Linked DNA regions of Ovis aries. The protein of the gene in region 2 binds, or shares a complex with, the protein of the main gene of each other region. Links are inferred from orthologs where the notes say so. Each region holds a gene or a part of one and is shown on either strand. Other genes may lie near its edges.

What was found.
Region 1: the proteins of TUBGCP6 (region 2) and TUBGCP5 are in contact, whole or in part, in a cryo-EM structure (PDB 7QJE), measured with the Homo sapiens proteins. The link is inferred for Ovis aries from reciprocal best matches to the Homo sapiens genes TUBGCP6 and TUBGCP5. Residues at the interface, in NP_065194.3 of Homo sapiens: Glu290, Ala291, Ser292, Lys293, Arg294, Arg295, Cys296, Trp297, Glu298, Arg299, Val300, Gly301, Cys302, Pro303, Pro304, His306, Arg307, Glu308, Glu309, Pro310, Tyr311, Leu312, Glu314, Lys322, Arg325, Leu326; in NP_443135.3 of Homo sapiens: Asp211, Asp212, Arg213, Trp215, Leu216, His219, Val220, Val221, His222, Trp225, Ser230, Phe232, Pro233, His234, Leu238, His239, Ser240, Asn241, Leu242, Leu264, Val265, Thr266, Glu267, Thr268, Gln269, Arg272, Val302, Thr303, His304, Leu305.
Region 3: TUBGCP6 (region 2) and tubulin gamma-2 chain share a complex: the UniProt entries of both Homo sapiens proteins name them as parts of the gamma-tubulin ring complex. The link is inferred for Ovis aries from reciprocal best matches to the Homo sapiens genes TUBGCP6 and TUBG2.
Region 4: the proteins of TUBGCP6 (region 2) and TUBGCP4 are in contact, whole or in part, in a cryo-EM structure (PDB 7QJE), measured with the Homo sapiens proteins. The link is inferred for Ovis aries from reciprocal best matches to the Homo sapiens genes TUBGCP6 and TUBGCP4. Residues at the interface, in NP_065194.3 of Homo sapiens: Leu312, Thr313, Ala315, Gly316, Arg317, Ala319, Phe320, Phe323, Leu326, His327, Glu349, Pro390, Glu391, Ser392, Ser395, Leu396, Glu399, Tyr403, Ser455, Leu456, Leu457, Thr458, Gly460, Phe461, Lys464, Lys465, Arg468, Arg471, Tyr472, Glu475; in NP_001273343.1 of Homo sapiens: Met1, Ile2, His3, Glu4, Leu6, Leu7, Ser10, Gly11, Tyr12, Pro13, Gly14, Ser15, Ile16, Gln29, Phe31, Pro32, Phe33, Leu34, His35, Pro36, Glu38, Thr56, Ile59, Glu60, Thr63, Val66, Gln67, Gln68, Ile84, Arg87.

What each region holds. Positions count from the first base shown.
Region 1 is NC_056055.1:114,155,483-114,159,615, forward strand, and holds the start of TUBGCP5 (gamma-tubulin complex component 5), read right to left. Parts: upstream 2,801-4,133; 5' UTR 2,774-2,800; coding exon 2,628-2,773; intron 471-2,627; coding exon 417-470; intron 289-416; coding exon 180-288; intron 1-179. UniProt on the Homo sapiens protein: Component of the gamma-tubulin ring complex (gTuRC) which mediates microtubule nucleation.
Region 2 is NC_056056.1:225,510,461-225,513,846, forward strand, and holds the end of TUBGCP6 (gamma-tubulin complex component 6), read right to left. Parts: coding exon 2,922-3,386; intron 2,793-2,921; coding exon 2,746-2,792; intron 2,602-2,745; coding exon 2,466-2,601; intron 2,382-2,465; coding exon 2,213-2,381; intron 2,107-2,212; coding exon 1,965-2,106; intron 1,885-1,964; coding exon 1,690-1,884; intron 1,615-1,689; coding exon 1,482-1,614; intron 1,406-1,481; coding exon 1,192-1,405; intron 1,123-1,191; coding exon 949-1,122; coding exon of another isoform or gene 923-948; intron 835-922; coding exon 501-834; downstream 1-500. UniProt on the Homo sapiens protein: Component of the gamma-tubulin ring complex (gTuRC) which mediates microtubule nucleation.
Region 3 is NC_056064.1:42,455,142-42,459,441, reverse strand, and holds the start of tubulin gamma-2 chain, read right to left. Parts: upstream 2,801-4,300; 5' UTR 2,560-2,800; coding exon 2,511-2,559; intron 2,201-2,510; coding exon 2,088-2,200; intron 1,889-2,087; coding exon 1,721-1,888; intron 1,420-1,720; coding exon 1,351-1,419; intron 840-1,350; coding exon 760-839; intron 694-759; exon of another isoform or gene 346-693; coding exon 219-345; exon of another isoform or gene 1-218. UniProt on the Homo sapiens protein: Tubulin is the major constituent of microtubules, protein filaments consisting of alpha- and beta-tubulin heterodimers. Gamma-tubulin is a key component of the gamma-tubulin ring complex (gTuRC) which mediates microtubule nucleation.
Region 4 is NC_056071.1:52,949,387-52,953,334, reverse strand, and holds the start of TUBGCP4 (gamma-tubulin complex component 4), read right to left. Parts: upstream 2,801-3,948; 5' UTR 2,536-2,800; coding exon 2,458-2,535; intron 1-2,457. Other genes in the region: ZSCAN29 (zinc finger and SCAN domain-containing protein 29), read left to right, coding at 3,945-3,948. UniProt on the Homo sapiens protein: Component of the gamma-tubulin ring complex (gTuRC) which mediates microtubule nucleation.

The DNA.
Region 1 (4,133 bases), on a different chromosome or scaffold from region 2:
AACATGAATATACTTCTTTTATCACAAGCCTGAGACACAGTGGATTTTATGTCAATTTCCAGCAGATGGTGATTCTAGTCGGTGGACAATAGTAAAATAGAATGAATGTCTAAATGTTAATAGAATCAGGCTGACAATAATCAGATTAGAAACAGCAGAGATTTCACAATATAGCATACCTTGAATTCCTTTATGCTTGGAAGCGATGCATTTAGAAATTCTTCAGTTAATCTCTTCCAACTGGCAGCTTTGCTTAGATCGGAATGAATAATGAATTTTTCATAAATCCTAGAATGTTAAAAAAAATCAACTAACAACTAAAAAGCTGTATTAATAAAAAGGTCTGTAAGATACATAGATATCTGAACATGCACATATATACATATGTATATATATATACATATAAACTGACTTACCCTTCTATTGTCTTTTGTACTTTGTGGCTATTGACATCTAAGAAACGATGAAATCTAAAAGAGAAAATGTGATTCTTATATCAATCGTGTCATAAAGCTAAGTTGACTAGTCTCACGGTCCAACACATTGCCCCCCAAACACACTATACTCAGTTATGTGTTTCCAGTGAGTGCACCTCTCTCCCTGTATCACCTCTGTCATTCATGCAAACAACCAGTCAACCTAAGACTGCTCAAGCATCCTTTCCTTATGACACAGATTGTCTTGAGTTTCCCAACTCTGTCCTCTGGCTCCTCTCTCTTTCCATAATGCCCTGTGTGTAAGTCCAGCACAGCACATCCCTGTTAGCAGGGTTTCCTAAACTTTTTATGCCATTGTGAAGGCCTATGAATCCTAGGGATCCCGTCTCAGGATAAAATGAAACAGAAAGGAAGCCAAGCATACTGAAATACACTTTTGAAATATTTTTTGAAGTCTGTGATATAGTCTGTGATGTTTTTGTTAAAACATTAAATAACAAGATCTAGAAGTGGGTTCATAACTACATGCAACAGTAAATAAGATTTATTAGAAATATCTGCAGTAATTACAATATGACAGTGAAATATGTGATTTCTACTGGTGACACAGTACATAAGCTATTACTTCTTGTTGCTTTCACTCATAATTGAAGGAAATGCTACTTTTCAGCTAGAGATTAGTATAATTTTCTTCTTGTCCAAATCTGTTATATCTGAATTCTACTATTAATATATTCAGACCCTCAGGTTAAGAAGTTCTGTTCTACATCATATGTAATAATTTTTATCTGTCTTATTTAAGAATAGTCGCTGTATTGCACCTGTCTGTGAATTTCTAAGGCCTAGAATGTGGCCTCAATTTTTAAAAATATAAATATGAATTGTTCATTTTTCTGATGGATTAAAGCATCACAAAATTACAATATAGCTCACTCAACTCTTGTTTTCCATCTTTTAGTGGAAACCACACAACCTGTACCTAAAAGAAGTAAATTACACTACTAATTAAAATATCTAATTCTAACCTAGCAAATGGCTGAATGGAATACCATTTTACCTATAAATTTAGTTTCTCAATGTGTAAAAGGCGTTAGTAACTGCTAAGCTCTCCTAACTCTAAAATGATGTCTGCTTACCTACTGTCATTTAGACATACTAACAGAAAAATTATTTGGGATAGAACATTTAAGTTTCTCTTAATATGACCTATTCTCTGAATATCACCTATTAAGGAATTGTTATACTTATGTTACACTTAAGAATTGAGTATTTTATTTCAAAAACGGGGCCGTTTAGACTCTATTCTTATTATAAACCAAGTGGGCACTTTATGTGTGATCATTAAGGTTGATAAAAAGATTACCGATTTCAAAAAACTGTTTACCATTCAAGAAGACTTCTTTCGACATTAGGCAGAAGATTAACAATGACTACCATTCTTCTAATAAAAATTTTATTACAGGTAATGATCATAACTGATTTACATGTCCCATAAGGGAAAATTATACCACTGATTTCACCTAAGTACCTAATCTGAATAAATCTTTTAAAATTAATTAAATAAAAAACCGTATTAAAAGTTGCACTGGACCTCGCATACTCTATGCCAAGAACTGTTTTAGGCGCTGGGATAAGAAATAAACAGAACAAACGAAGATCCCTACTTTGGTGGAGCTTATATACTGCATGACGGTGGGGGTGGAGACAAACAATAACAACAAATGAGTTATCCAATGTGTTATGCTTCGCGTTTTGGAAAAAAAGAGCAGGGTAAGAAATACGGAGTGGTCCGAGCAGAGAGGGAGTCAGTGAGAATAGGGTGTGACCATTACTTTGCTCTAAAATTTTACTCAACCAACCACTCAAAAAATTGATGGGCAGGGGCCCGCGCTAAGCGCAGTGGGCGGAGCAGGGAACCGGATTGCCAGAACTCTTCACTAGGAGAAAGATCGGAGGACGACCCCCAGCAACCCACAACCCATTGACTGAGCTAGGCCTGGCGTGTCCCAGTCCACGGAATAGCAAAGAGTCGAACCCGACTGAGCGACTGAACTGATCACCGCCTCGGGCATCCAGAATGCACGAAGGCACTAAGCTGCTGGAGCGGCAAAGCGCGCCGGGACTCTGCCGGTCGTGCAACACAACTCGCCAGACCCCTTCCCTTCCCCGGCTGCGATGCCGCGTCCACACCTGAAGTTGGACCAGGCGAAGTGCAAAGCGAGCTGGAAGTTGGGGTCCGCTTCGTCCTGGACGCCCGCCACAAGGCGAACGAGCTCGCGCACGTCGCGCTCTTGTCGTCTATCCAGCCGACTCCAGGACGGCGGCAGGGACGCCATACCTCCCGCGCTCCCGCCGTCCTTCGCGAGGTTGCGCCAGCTCTCGCGCGAGTTCGAGCTGCGGCCGCGTTGCGCGTCTCCCTCGCGAGAGTTCGCGCTGCAGTCACGTTGAGCCTTGGGTCTGGTTCTGGTCGGTGGCAGGGTTGTGAGTGTCGTCAAAGGAGAAGCAGTTATTATTAAATTTATTAATAATAGTCTTTGACTGACTTTGGTTGATGGTCTAACGCCTGTGTTTCAAGAACAGCCACTTCTCATTCAGTGTATCGGTTTGCACAGTTTTTAGCTACCACCCTTCGTCAGTTATCCATCATTCAGTTTCTCCTAGAGGTGATATCCAGTGGTCTTTGGATTCCGCTCTGCCTACATGGGCCGCACTACGTGGCACACACTACAGCAGATGTAAAGAAAGCGCGTTGTCTCGCACACAGACTGAGCGCCTTGCCTCCTGCGACTCCCAGTGGGCCAAGGAGGACTTATTAAACAACACTGGCCGAAAGTGGAGTAGTGCTTTTGTTGTTGTTTGTAATTAAAACTGTACTTTTAAACTGTTTATGTAAAGGATTGCTCATAACCATTACAAGACTTGTTGCATAAAACGTTTAACTTTTTTTTCTTTTAGGGATCTACTAGGTTTTCATGTGGTTTGTTACATTGCATCGCTCCAGCTGTTTGGGCTGTCATAACAAAATACCATAGACTGGATGGCTTGAAAACAACAGAAGTTTATTTCTCATAGTTCTGCAGGCAGCAATTTGAGATCCACGTGCCAGCATGATTGAGTGAGGGCCCTCTTCCTGGAATCAGAATTCTGGTTGTGTTTTCACATGATGAAACGGGCAAGGGAACTCGCTGGGGTCTCTTACTAGGGCACTCATTCCATTCTCAAGACCTCCACCATCCTTTTCTAAACACCTCTCAAATACCAGAATGTTGGGCATTAAGATGTCAAATTATTAATTTTGAGGGTGCACAAACACCCAGACTATAGCAACTACCTAAAACATAGACTGCACACAACTGAATAAATCCCATAAGAAGGGGGAAATCATAGGAGTAGAAATGATTCCGTGAAGAAATTTATACCTTCTCCCTGGGGCAATCTTTTCTACTCCAGTCTCAACTATCATCTGTGTGTTTATAACTCTCAGATTTGCATATGCAACCCACATTTTTCTTAGCACTCCAAATCTAAAATTGCTTATTGTACACTTCCAGAAATGAACATACACACTTAGCATGTGTCTCTCCTGACTCCCTATCGAGCCAGTTGGTCTTGACCTCTGGAGGGAGACCTAGAAAACATTCCATAGGGTGCTCCCAATGACTTAGACCCAGTAGGGACTGAGCTACTCTCACACAC
Region 2 (3,386 bases):
GCGCCAACAACCCCAAGTACGTGCTGAGGAACTACATTGCACAGGGCGCCATTGAAGCTGCGGAGAACGGTGACTTCTCGGAGGCAAGGGCCGCCTGCCCCCCTCCCCCACCACCAGCCCACCCACCCCCCCTCCGCCAACCTCCCCGACCGCGCGCTTCTCGTTGTGGAGGAGGCCGGTCCCCAACAGCCCCCCTCGCTCTCCACCCCCCTGCAGGTGCGGCGGGTGCTGAAGCTGCTGGAGACCCCTTACGGCGGGGAGGCAGAGGCTGCCGAGCCCGAGGGGGCCGCGGAGGCCAGCGAGGTGGCCGCAGAGACCAGCGGGGCGGCCGGCCGGCGGCGCTCCTACAGCAGCAAGCCCCCGCTCTGGGCGGCAGAGCTGTGCGTGACGTGATCCTCGTAACCGCCCTGGGGACTCCGCGCAGGAGGCCCCGGGGCCGAGCCCTTGAGTCCACGAGGCGGCTCCCGCTCCCGTCTCTCCGTGACGGCGGAGACGTCCAGTCAGGACCTGACCCGTCTCCACCCGACGCCGACTCGCCACCCCTGCCCCAGGCTCTGCTCCCCATGACATGCCCCACGCCCGCACCACGCGGCCCCCACCCACCTGGCGGGGGTGGAGGGGGGCGCGGCCCCCCAATAAACCGGCAGCCTCCTCAGTGGCCCCGCGTGGTTGCCCCGCCCCCGCCCGCCCCGGAGACAGAGGCTGGAGGGCGGGTACACGTTTATTGCGGCCGAGCCGGGGCTCAGGCGTCCTGGTAGTAGTTGTTGAAGTTGATTCGCAGCAGGAAGTCCTCCAGGTGGGGCTGGTAGCCGCGGTTCACCAGCTTGCTCACCACTGCGAGGGGCGGGGCGGGGGAAGGGGCGGGTTCAGTGAGCCGGCGTAGCCCCGGCCCCAGCCCTCCCCCCGCCCCGGGGGGCGTCACCTTTGAAGAGGAAGCGGGAGTAGTACTTGAAGGCGCTGTAGGACTGCTGCATGAGGGCAAAGTTGGGGTGCTCGGGGCCGCGCGGGCCGCCGGCCGGGCCCCAGGGCTGGGAGATGAGCTGGCTGCGGAACTTGAGGACCAGGCTGAAGACGCTGTGGATGACGTTCATGACCGGCGCCGCCTTCTCCGTCAGCAGGCCCCTGGGGGGAGGCGGGGGCTGCAGTGGGTGCGCCCGAGCCAGGGCCGCGCGGGGGCAGGCCGCAGCTCACCTGAAGACCGCCTTGTGCAGGTACTCGGCGTGGGCGCGCTGTATCTCCTCCAGGTCGCCCACCGAGGCCAGCCTGGCCTGGAACTCGCACCAGCTGACGTGCAGGATCTGGTTGGCGATGTAGCCCTGGGTGACCTTGACGAAGTGCTGCATCTCGTGCTTGAAAAGCTGCAGCTGGCGGAACTGCGCCGAGCCGGCCGCCTGGCTCACCCGCGCTGAGGAGGGGAGCGGGGAGGGCAGGGGTGAGTGCCGCCGCGGGCGGCTTGGGCCCCTCGGGCCCCCCAGGCTCACCTGTGCGCTTGAGGTGGAAGCAGACGTCCTTGAGCGTCCACATCATGAGCTTCAGCTGCAGCAGGAAGGAGAAGATGCCGCCGTACCTGCTCAGGCAGCCCTCGGTGACCACGATGTTGAGAGGCCAGTCGACCTGGCAGGGAGGCCGGCTCAGTACAGCTGCATCCCGGGACCACCCCCACCGCCCGCGCCAGGGGGCGCTGCTGACCTTGTACCTGAGCTCCAGGCAGCTCAGCACGTCCGGGGCGTTGGGGGCGAACGTCTCGGGCAGGAACTTGAGGGCGAAGGAGAGGTTGGCAGCGTGCGGGCTGTCGCCGTGCAGGCTGTATTGCAGGGCCTTGCTCAGCACCGAGTTGAGCACCAGGGGGCTGAGAAGCTCCCCGGGCGTCTGGCCCGCCCCTAGCTGCAGGGACAGGACACAGCGTCCCAAAGCGTCCAGAGCCTGCCCGCCGCCCCTCTGGCGCCTGGCCCGCCCGAGCTCACCTTCTCGAAGAGCAGGTCGCTGAGGGACTGGGCGAACTCTCCGTCCTCCATCAGCAGGAAGTGCCTTAGCGCCTCGAAGTGCGCCCCGAGGTTCAGCTCCACGAAGAAGTAGTCGACCACGGCCTTGTTCACCAGGGAGACGCTGGCGGGAGGGGCCTGGAGTTACTGACCGTCGCGGGGCGGAGCCGGGCGGGGCAGGGGGAGCGGGGCCGGGCCGGGGAGGGAGCAGAGGGTCAGGCGGTGCTCACTGGGCAGCCAGCGGGGCGGTAACAGAGTGCTTCATGAGCACGGGCAGCGGCAGCAGCTCGCTCAGCTGCACGGCGCTCTCGTCTGCGTCTGACGGGACCCGGGCGTCCTCGGGGAGGGCGAAGGCTCGGGGAAGCCCGTGGTGCAGGAGGCGGGCCACCGGAGGCTCCGCTGCGGGGTGATAGACTGCAGTTAGGCCCCAGGGACACGGGGCCAGGCTGCCTCCCGCCTGCCCGCTGTGGCCGGCCCACTCACACATGGCCTCGTAGCTGTCCGGGTACTGCTCCAGGCGGTAGTGCCCCGCCAGGCCTGCCAGGTAGGCCTGTTCCCGGTCCCAGAGCTGGGCTGCCGCCTCGCCAGGGTCTGGGCTGCTCTGGACGTCTGCATCCTCCTAAGATAACCCAGCCTCGAGGGACCCGCCTCCTTCCCTCATCTGAGAGGAGGGACCAGGAGGCAGACCGCACCCGCCCTGCCCAGTCCCAGGACAGAGCCGTGCCTGCCCACAAAAGGCCCAGCACACCCCCCAACCCCTGACCTGTGAGCCGGGAGAGAGGTCCCTGGAGTCCTCACTCATCCCCAGGCCTGAGCAGAAGAAATGGGGCAGGAGAGAGGGTCAGGGCCAAACACCCGCCCCCGCCCCCCGCCACTGGTCCTCCCCGTCCTGGGCTCACAGACGCCCCCAGGGGCAGGACGGCTCTGGGTCCCACTGACCTGGCTCCTCCGGGGTGCTGTCTCCCAGAGCAGCAGGTACAGCCTCAGCAGACAGCGAGGCCTGGGGGCCACCCTCCTCCCCGTGGCCAGGGCCTGGTCCGGCCACCTGTGCGCTGGAGCTGCCTGAGGCTGTCTCCGCAGGCAGCCGTGGCATGTGTCCCTGGGCTCCCGAGCTGAGGCCCAACTGGGGCCCAGGGTCAGGTGGGCCCAACGGGGGCCTGGACAAATTGGGCTCAGCTTCCCCTGAGAGCACCCCCAGCATCACACTGGACTGAGACACGTGTCCATGGACATTCCACCGTGGCCGGGAGGGGGCCACGTCCCACACATTCTCCCCGACCCTGATGCTGGCGTCAGACACGTGTCCATGGACTTTCCACCGTGGCCGGGAGGGGGTCATTCCAGAAGCACAGACCCCTCTGGGAACACCAGGCTCTGCCCCGAGGACCTGTGCTGTGGCCGGGC
Region 3 (4,300 bases), on a different chromosome or scaffold from region 2:
AGACATGTGGGAGGGGGGTGTTACTTTGTTGAGAGTCCTGCTACCTAAAGGGACTATGAGAAGCTTGGGGTCAGGTTCTTATTTCATACTTTGGGCCACCAAGTATGGCTTTGTTGGTTGTCTGTTCTCTGGGCAAGGGCTTGGGAAGGGCAGAGTGTAGGTGTCTCACTGGTTTGGGGAGGTAGGCCAAAGGCCCCACTTCCTCCTCCCATGCTCACCACACAGTCAGCGTTCTGGGTCAGCCTCTTGAGTGTGAGCAGTGAGTTGTAGGGCTGGACCACCACATCGCTCATCTCGTCCTGGTTGGGAAACACTGAGTATGTCTGTACCAGCTTCTTGGGGTACCTGGGGGTGAGGAAGAGGGAAACGGGCAGGTAGCAGAGTGACTTGGAAGGACTCTCATCACTGCCCCTCTTTGTCTTCTCCAGGAATAACAGGGGCCGTTCCTTTCCAAGTGCCACCAAGGTCTTACACAAAAGGAGTGAGGGCAGAATGGAGTCTTTAGAGCCCAGAAGCCAAAAAAGATAAACCTGAAGCATCAAACCTCCCTCCCTCCTAGGTCCTCTCCCCCAGCTATGCAGACCCTCTGCTTCCTGGGAGTTATTGCTTCCAAGATGTTCCCTGGGAGGCCAGGCTCTGTTCCTACTTGTAACTCAAGGGCAGTAGTAATAGGGCTTTCAGCCAAAAGAAAAAGTGACAAAAGAAAAGACATTACCCAGGGAAACAGAGCTAATGCTCTCTTCCCAAACACAGGCTTACCTGTCATTCAATCGCTCCAAGAGGTAGGAGCCCAGGCCAGAACCGGTCCCCCCAGCGATGGAATGACACAGCACAAAGCCCTGCAGGGGAAGGAATGGAGAAGCAGTCTCCAGGGATCTGGGGGAGAGGCTTCTGGCTTGTCTCATGTCCCACTCCCAACCCTCTCAAGTCTCAGGGTTTCTTCTATATCCATCCAGTGTGAGGCTCCTTGAGAAGGAAGGAGCTGATGCCATCCAGATTAGGATCTTCTTGAGGACACAAACTGAACCTTATTTACTTCACCATCTCACATCTGATACTCAAGAGTTATGAATTAAATTGCCCCCATCACACATCTGATCAGGCTCTTTGTGACCCCATGGACAGTAGCCCATCAGGCTCCTTTGTCCATGGAATTCTCCAGGCAACAATAATGGAGTGGGTTACCATTCCTTTCTCCAGGGGATCTTCACGACCCAGGGATTTGAACCTGGGTCTCCTGCATTGCAGGCTGATTCCTTATCATCTGAGCGACCAGGGAGGCAACCTCCTGACTTCCCCCAGCACTTCTCAGCTTCCTCCCTCCTCTCCCCTAAAGGGGCAGAACCTCACCTCTAGGCTGTCACTTCCATCTGCTTCTCGGTCTATGATGTCAAAGATATCTTCATGGATTTTCTCACCCTGTATAGAGAGATGAGGAGGGAGGAGACACCTATAGAGACGTGAGGATGACGTTTCTGGAGAGCATCTCCTTTCGGCACCAGTAACTCTACCTTGGGACACTGCTGACACCTCAAGCAGAGCCCCGACTGTGGCCCTCACCCCAGAAATGCTACTTTGCATAAACTTCTCTATGTCTGTCCCTCTTATCAGGGTAGTCCCCTGTCTCTCACTGTCAGTATGGTCTAATCACCAGACTGCTTGTGCTTGCCTTACCCCAGGAAGGGAACATCAAGAATCTCCCGGATGGCCACCTGGATACCTGGGAGAATCCGCTGGCCCAGTTGTTGCCAGCTCCTCCTCCATGCTCTGACAGGTATATGTTCTCTGGGTTGTAGAGTTTGGCATAGGGGGAGTTGAGGATGGAGTGGATCACCCTGGGCTCCAGGTCCAGCAGCACTGCCCTCGGGATGTAGTGCTCATCGTCGGCCTGTCAAGAGGAGTCCAGAAGGGGCCCAATCAGCTCGGGCCTGCCCAGTCCTCCAGTCCTCCCAACTCTGGCTCCTGCCTGCCCTCCTCCTTCAAACCAGCCGCCCTGGCTCCTCTGCCCAGTGGGTTTCCCAGTACCCAAGCCCTTCCCTTCAGGCCTCGTGGGCCATTGCCAACCCTGGCTAAGTCGCTGGGGGCACCTGGTAGAAAAAGACGTCCTTGCGATCAGTGCCCTCGGTGGCGAACTCCTCCACGATGCCCTCGGGGCTGATACCATGCTCGGCGCACAGCTGTTTCCAGAACTCGAACCCAACTGGGGGATGGGGAGAGACGCCTGGGTCTGCTAAAGCCCTCTAGCAGAGGGCTTGGGAGCCCAGGGTGAGGCTCAGACACTGTCACACATTCCAGGGTGGGCCCAAGACGCCCGGATCTGGGCGACGTGACAGCTCAGGGTTAGAGGCATGTCTCTCGTGCTGGGTGTCATCATGCGCAGTAGGGCAGGGGGGTTATGGAACGGAAGCGGGGCGGGGGTGGGGTGGTGGTGTTGGAGGATGCCAAGCACTCGGGTGGGACCCGAAGGGGCAGAACCGGAGACTAGCTGGGCCCGGCTCTCGTTCGCTCACTCTGGTTGCCGCACTGGCCCAGCTGCAGGGTGATGATCTCCCGGGGCATCGCTCTTCAGATGAGGCCGCGCCAGCCTGGCCAGGCCGGGCAGGAGTCACGGCGGGGACGAATGCTTGGCAGCTGGGCGCGCAGGACGTGGGGAGCGCGCGCTCTCTTCTGCTTTTGACGCGGATGCTCGGTCTGCGCGTGTGCAGTGCGGGCCTCCTCTCGGCCGGCGGCCCGGGAGCCCAACCTGGGCATCATTTTCCCCCACAGCAGTTGCAGCTGGAATTCCGCACAGGCGCGGAGTGAGGCCACGCCCCCTCCTGCCCACCCGCCCCAGCTCTGCGCCTGCGCAGTGAGACGCGCCGGGACCGAGTGTGGGGGAAGGGAAGTGAGGGAGGGGACGTCCAGGTGTCTGGAATCACCGGCGCTCTGCCTTATAGGTAGGTGAGCGGCTCTGCCTGCTCTGATAGGTAGAGGGGCTGAATTCAAGCCAATTTTCGTCTTTTAAATTTCTATTTTTAAGTTATATGTATCCAACAAAATTTACCATTTTAACCATTTTAAATTACAATTTTGTGAGGTTAAGTACATGTACATTGTTCTGTAACGGTCTCCAGCGGTCACCTACAGAACTTTGGCACCTTCCCAAGCTCTTACCTGTTGAACAGTAACCTCGCCCTTATCACCATTCTGCTTTCCGTCTCAGTGAATTTGACTAAGTGCCTCATACAAGTGGGATAACACAGTATTTGTCCTTTTGTGTCTGGCTTGTTTCACTTAGGTAATGTTATCAAGGTTACTCCATGTTACAGCATGTATCATACTTTTATTCCTTGTTAAGGCTATATAATATTCCATGGTATGCATATACCACGTTTTGTGTTTTATCAGTCCATCTGTCAATGGACACTGCCGTGCTTCTACTTAATACTGCTAATGAACATGGGTGTAGAATATCTTGTTTGAGTGCCTACTTTCAATTCTGGGTATATGCCCAGAATCAGAATTGCTAGATCATGGCAGGATTGTGTTTCCTTTATTTGAGGACTTGCCATACTATTTCTCACAGTCGCTGCACCATTTCACATTCCCACAGCAATGCACATGAGTTCCAGTTTCTCCACATCTTTATCAACACTTGTTACTTTAAAAAAAACAAAACAAATAGGCCATCTAAATGAATGTGAGGTGATATCTCATTTTGGTTTCTATTTTATTTTAAAATTTAAAAAGTTTTAAACATGCAAGCATGATTTTGATTTTTTACTATATATTTTTTATTTTGAAATTTTACATAAATGGTATGAGTGTAATATTCTTTTGTATCTTGCTATTTTCACCCTACTTTAGCTTTAGTGATTTAGCTATGTTGATACATGTAGATTCATTTTGTTCCTTTTAACTGTTTTATAGTATTTAATTGGATGGATAAAAACAGTTTATTCTATTTCCACACAGGGGTGATTTGATTGTTTCCACTTATTTGGTGTTACATCAAATGCCTACAGGAGTTATCCACTTGTGAACCTGAAGAAAAGTATTTACCAAGAGCTTGTGCAGCTTCAACTTTACCAGGTTTGGCATATTTTTTCCTAGATGGTTGTACCAACTTGTACTTTTAACCAGCAATAGCATTTCCATTTCCCTATACTCAGTTCCACACTTGGGTTATCAGATCTTCATTTTTGTCAGCTCTAGATAACTCAAAGCTGTAACTTCCAGTTAGGATCACAATCAAAGCTGATTCAATTTTCTCTTGTTACTGACCCCTGGGAATTGCCTGTTCATTTCCTTTGCCCCCCAC
Region 4 (3,948 bases), on a different chromosome or scaffold from region 2:
TTAAGGTTATACAGTGGAAGTGAGAAATAGATTTAAGGGCCTAGATCTGATAGAGTGCCTGATGAACTATGGAATGAGGTTCGTGACATTGTACAGGAGACAGGGATCAAGACCATCCCCATGGAAAAGAAATGCAAAAAAGCAAAATGACTGTCTAGGGAGGCCTTACAAATAGCTGTGAAAAGAAGAGAGGCGAAAAGCAAAGGAGAAAAGGAAAGATATAAGCATCTGAATGCAGAGTTCCAAAGAATAGCAAGGAGAGGCAAGAAAGCCTTCTGCAGCGATCAATGCAAAGAAATAGAGGAAAACAATAGAATGGGAAAGACTAGAAATCTCTTCAAGAAAATTAGAGATACCAAGGGAACATTTCATGCAAAGATGGGCTCGATAAAGGACAGAAATGATATGGACCTAACAGAAGCAGAAGATATTAAGAAGAGGTGGCAAGAATACACGGAAGAACTATACAAAAAGATCTTCACGACCCAGATAATCATGATGATGTGATCACTAATCTAGAGCCAGACATCTTGGAATGTGAAGTCAAGTGGGCCTTAGAAAGCATCACTGCAAACAAAGCTAGTGGAGGTGATGGCATTCCAGTTGAGCTGTTTCAAATCCTGAAAGATGATGCTGTGAAAGTGCTGCACTCAATATGCCAGCAAATTTGGAAAACTCAGCAGTGGCCATAGGACTGGAAAAGGTCAGTTTTCATTCCTATTCCAAAGAAAGGTAATGCAAAGAATGCTCAAACTACCGCACAATTGCACTCATCTCACATGCTAGTAAAGTAATGCTCAAAATTCTCCAAGCCAGGCTTCAGCAATACGTGCACCGCGAACTCCCTGATGTTCAAGCTGGTTTTAGAAAAGGCAGAGGAACCAGAGATCAAATTGCCAACATCCGCTGGATCATGGAAAAAGCAAGAGAGTTCCAGAAAAAAACATCTATTTCTGCTTTATTGACTATGCCAAAGCCTTTGATTGTGTGGATCACAATAAACTGTGGAAAATTCTGAAAGAGATGGGAATACCAGACCACCTGACCTGCCTCCTGAGAAATCCGTATGCAGGTCAGGAAGCAACAGTTAGAACTGGACATGGAACAACAGACTGGTTCCAAATAGGAAAAGTAATATGTCAAGGCTGTATATTGTCACCCTGCTTATTTAAGTTATATGCAGAGTACATCATGAGAAACGCTGGGCTGGAAGAAACACAAGCTGGAATCAAGATTGCCAGGAGAAATATCAATAACTTCCGATATGCAGATGACACCACTCTTACGGCAGAAAGTGAAGAGGAGCTAAAAAGCCTCTTGATGAAAGTGAAAGAGGAGAGTGAAAAAGTTGGCTTAAAGCTCAACATTCAGAAAACGAAGATCATGGCATCTGGTCCCATCACTTCATGGGAAATAGATGGGGAAACAGTGGAAACAGTGTCAGACTTTATTTTTTTGGGGCTCCAAAATCACTGCGGATGGTGACTGCAGCCATGAAATTAAAAGATACTTACTCCTTGGAAGAAAAGTTATGAGCAACCTAGATAGTATATTCAAAAGCAGAGACATTACTTTGCTGACTAAGGTCCGTCTAGTCAAGGCTATGGTTTTTCCTGTGGTCATGTATGGATGTGAGAGTTGGACTGTGAAGAAGGCTGAGCGCCGAAGAATTGATGCTTTTGAACTGTGGTGTTGGAGAAGACTCTTGAGAGTCCCTTGGACTGCAAGGAGATCCAACCAGTCCATTCTGAAGGAGATCAACCCTGGGATTTCTTTGGAAGGAATGATGCTAAAGCTGAAACTCCAGTACTTTGGCCACCTCATGCGAAGAGTTGACTCATTGGAAAAGACTCTGATGCTGGGAGGGATTGGGGGCAGGAGGAGAAGGGGACGACCGAGGATGTGATGGCTGGATGGTATCACGGACTCGATGGACGTGAGTCTGAGTGAATTCCGGGAGATGGTGATGAACAGGGAGGCCTGGCGTGCTGCGATTCATGGGGTCGCAAAGAGTCGGACATGACTGAGCGACTGAACTGAACTGTTTGTATATTAGGCACTGTGTATTTGGTCTAGCTTTCAAAACTCAGTTTAAAACGTTGTGCAAGCATGAAGATGGGAGAAAGGGCCTCTCTCAGTTTTACATCTAGTTCTCTAGCAACTCTCGCCCAGACACTTTCAACCTTAGGCCTGGTCCGGGATTCCCTCCTCCCCTAAGGCAGAACCAATAGGGATCCACCCTTCGCTTTCCGCCTAGGCCCAACCCTCTCCAGGTGTCTAAACCATCCGTAAGCCCCTAGGGCACAGCCCTCAGGTTACCCGTCCAGGGATACGCCCCCCACGCCTTGGTCCTTGCCAGCCCCGCCTTCTTGCTCCCTCAGACTCCTCCTCCCAAGCGCTGGCTCGGGTCCACCCATTCCGAGCTCGCCAGTTCCCGCGCTCCGAGCCGGATAGTACCTGGAGGCCACTCCGCTTGTTCCAGGTGAAAATGGACCCTGGGTACCCGCTCAGAGCCAAGAGCAGTTCGTGGATCATTCCCACGGCGGACCTCGAGTCCCTATATCCGTCGCGCCCTCCTCCAGGGCCTCAGCTGGCGACCAAGGAGGCGAGCGCTCCCTTCTCTATGCGCGCACAGGTCTCCGGGACGCACTGTTCCTCCTGACTTTACCCGCCGAGACAACTGCAGGGGAGACCGGACGGAAAGCAGCCGGCGCGCCGCGTCCCGGAAGTGCGCCGCGCTCGGCTGGGCCCCCTCGCCGGCGGCAGCCGGTGCCCCGCAAGAGTCGCGGGAGCTGCCCTTGCGCATGCGCCTTTGGCTCCCGAGGCACCCACTCGGACTTCCGGTTTGGAAGCTGGACTGGGAGGCTGGCGAGCCCGGGCTGGAGCCAGACCCTGACTGGGTGAGGCTGGCCGGTGGGCAGAGATGCGAGCGGGTTGAGCGATAGCCTGAGTGGGAGAAGCTCTCAGGTGTGGGCCACAGGGTGCTCTCAGGGCGCCTTAGTCCGGTCGGAGGCCTCCGGAGGGATTCATGACGGCTCCGAGTGACCTGGCCGGAGGGAACGAAAACAAAGAGGCCGGAACCCCGCACCCGCCGCTCCTAGACCTGAGCTCCGCGCTCGCGAACCTCGCAGCCCTCGGAGCGCCTGCCCACCACCCGAACTCGTCCTCAGGAGACCCATGACTACTGCCCCTTCGGAATTCCTCTCTCCACCAACTCAGTGTGACTCTCCCCAAACCCACTCGGACCTCGCTTCAGGAGCCAAAATCAACTTCTCTCAATGCGCGAGGTTTCCCGTCAGTAGTTCCCGGATGTTTACTGAGCGCTTACTTCTGCTGTGAGGGAAAACAGAGACCCAGTATTTAGTACTTGATTTTTGTTTGGGGTGGGAATTGGTAGTGGTGGAGTCTCAGGGAGCGGGGCGGGCTGTGAGGGCCTGGGGAAGGACAGTGGAGAGCAGCTTGCTACCCGCTGGACAGAGGCTTTGTTACCTTCAGCAGAATGGTGACCTGCCTTTAGAACCTTCCGAGCTCCAGGTCTCCCAAATGGTTCGAACTCACTGGTTAGGGGAGCTCAATGGGTCAGATTTGGGGGCGGCGGAAGAGTAGACAGTACTTTTATCCTTTGCTGCTTCTCCGGGCTGCCCTGGATGTCGGCCAGAGATGCAGCCTTTGAATGGCCTCTCACCTTCAGGCTGTTTTGACTTCCTGACCTGAAGCTGGTGCTACCTCAGATGACCACTTGGAGCATATGGGCAGTCAGGCCAGCTCTGGCAAGACCCTAGACATACATTCCTTCTGATAGTGCCATCTCTCTCTGCCCTAGGAGGAAACTGCTTACAGAGACAGACTCATCTGCAGGTGATTCCCCAAGGACATGGGAAGATGGGCCTAAGCCCTGGAACCTAGACCTTTAAGTGAAGGGAAGCTGCTTCCTGCTGTGAACCATGG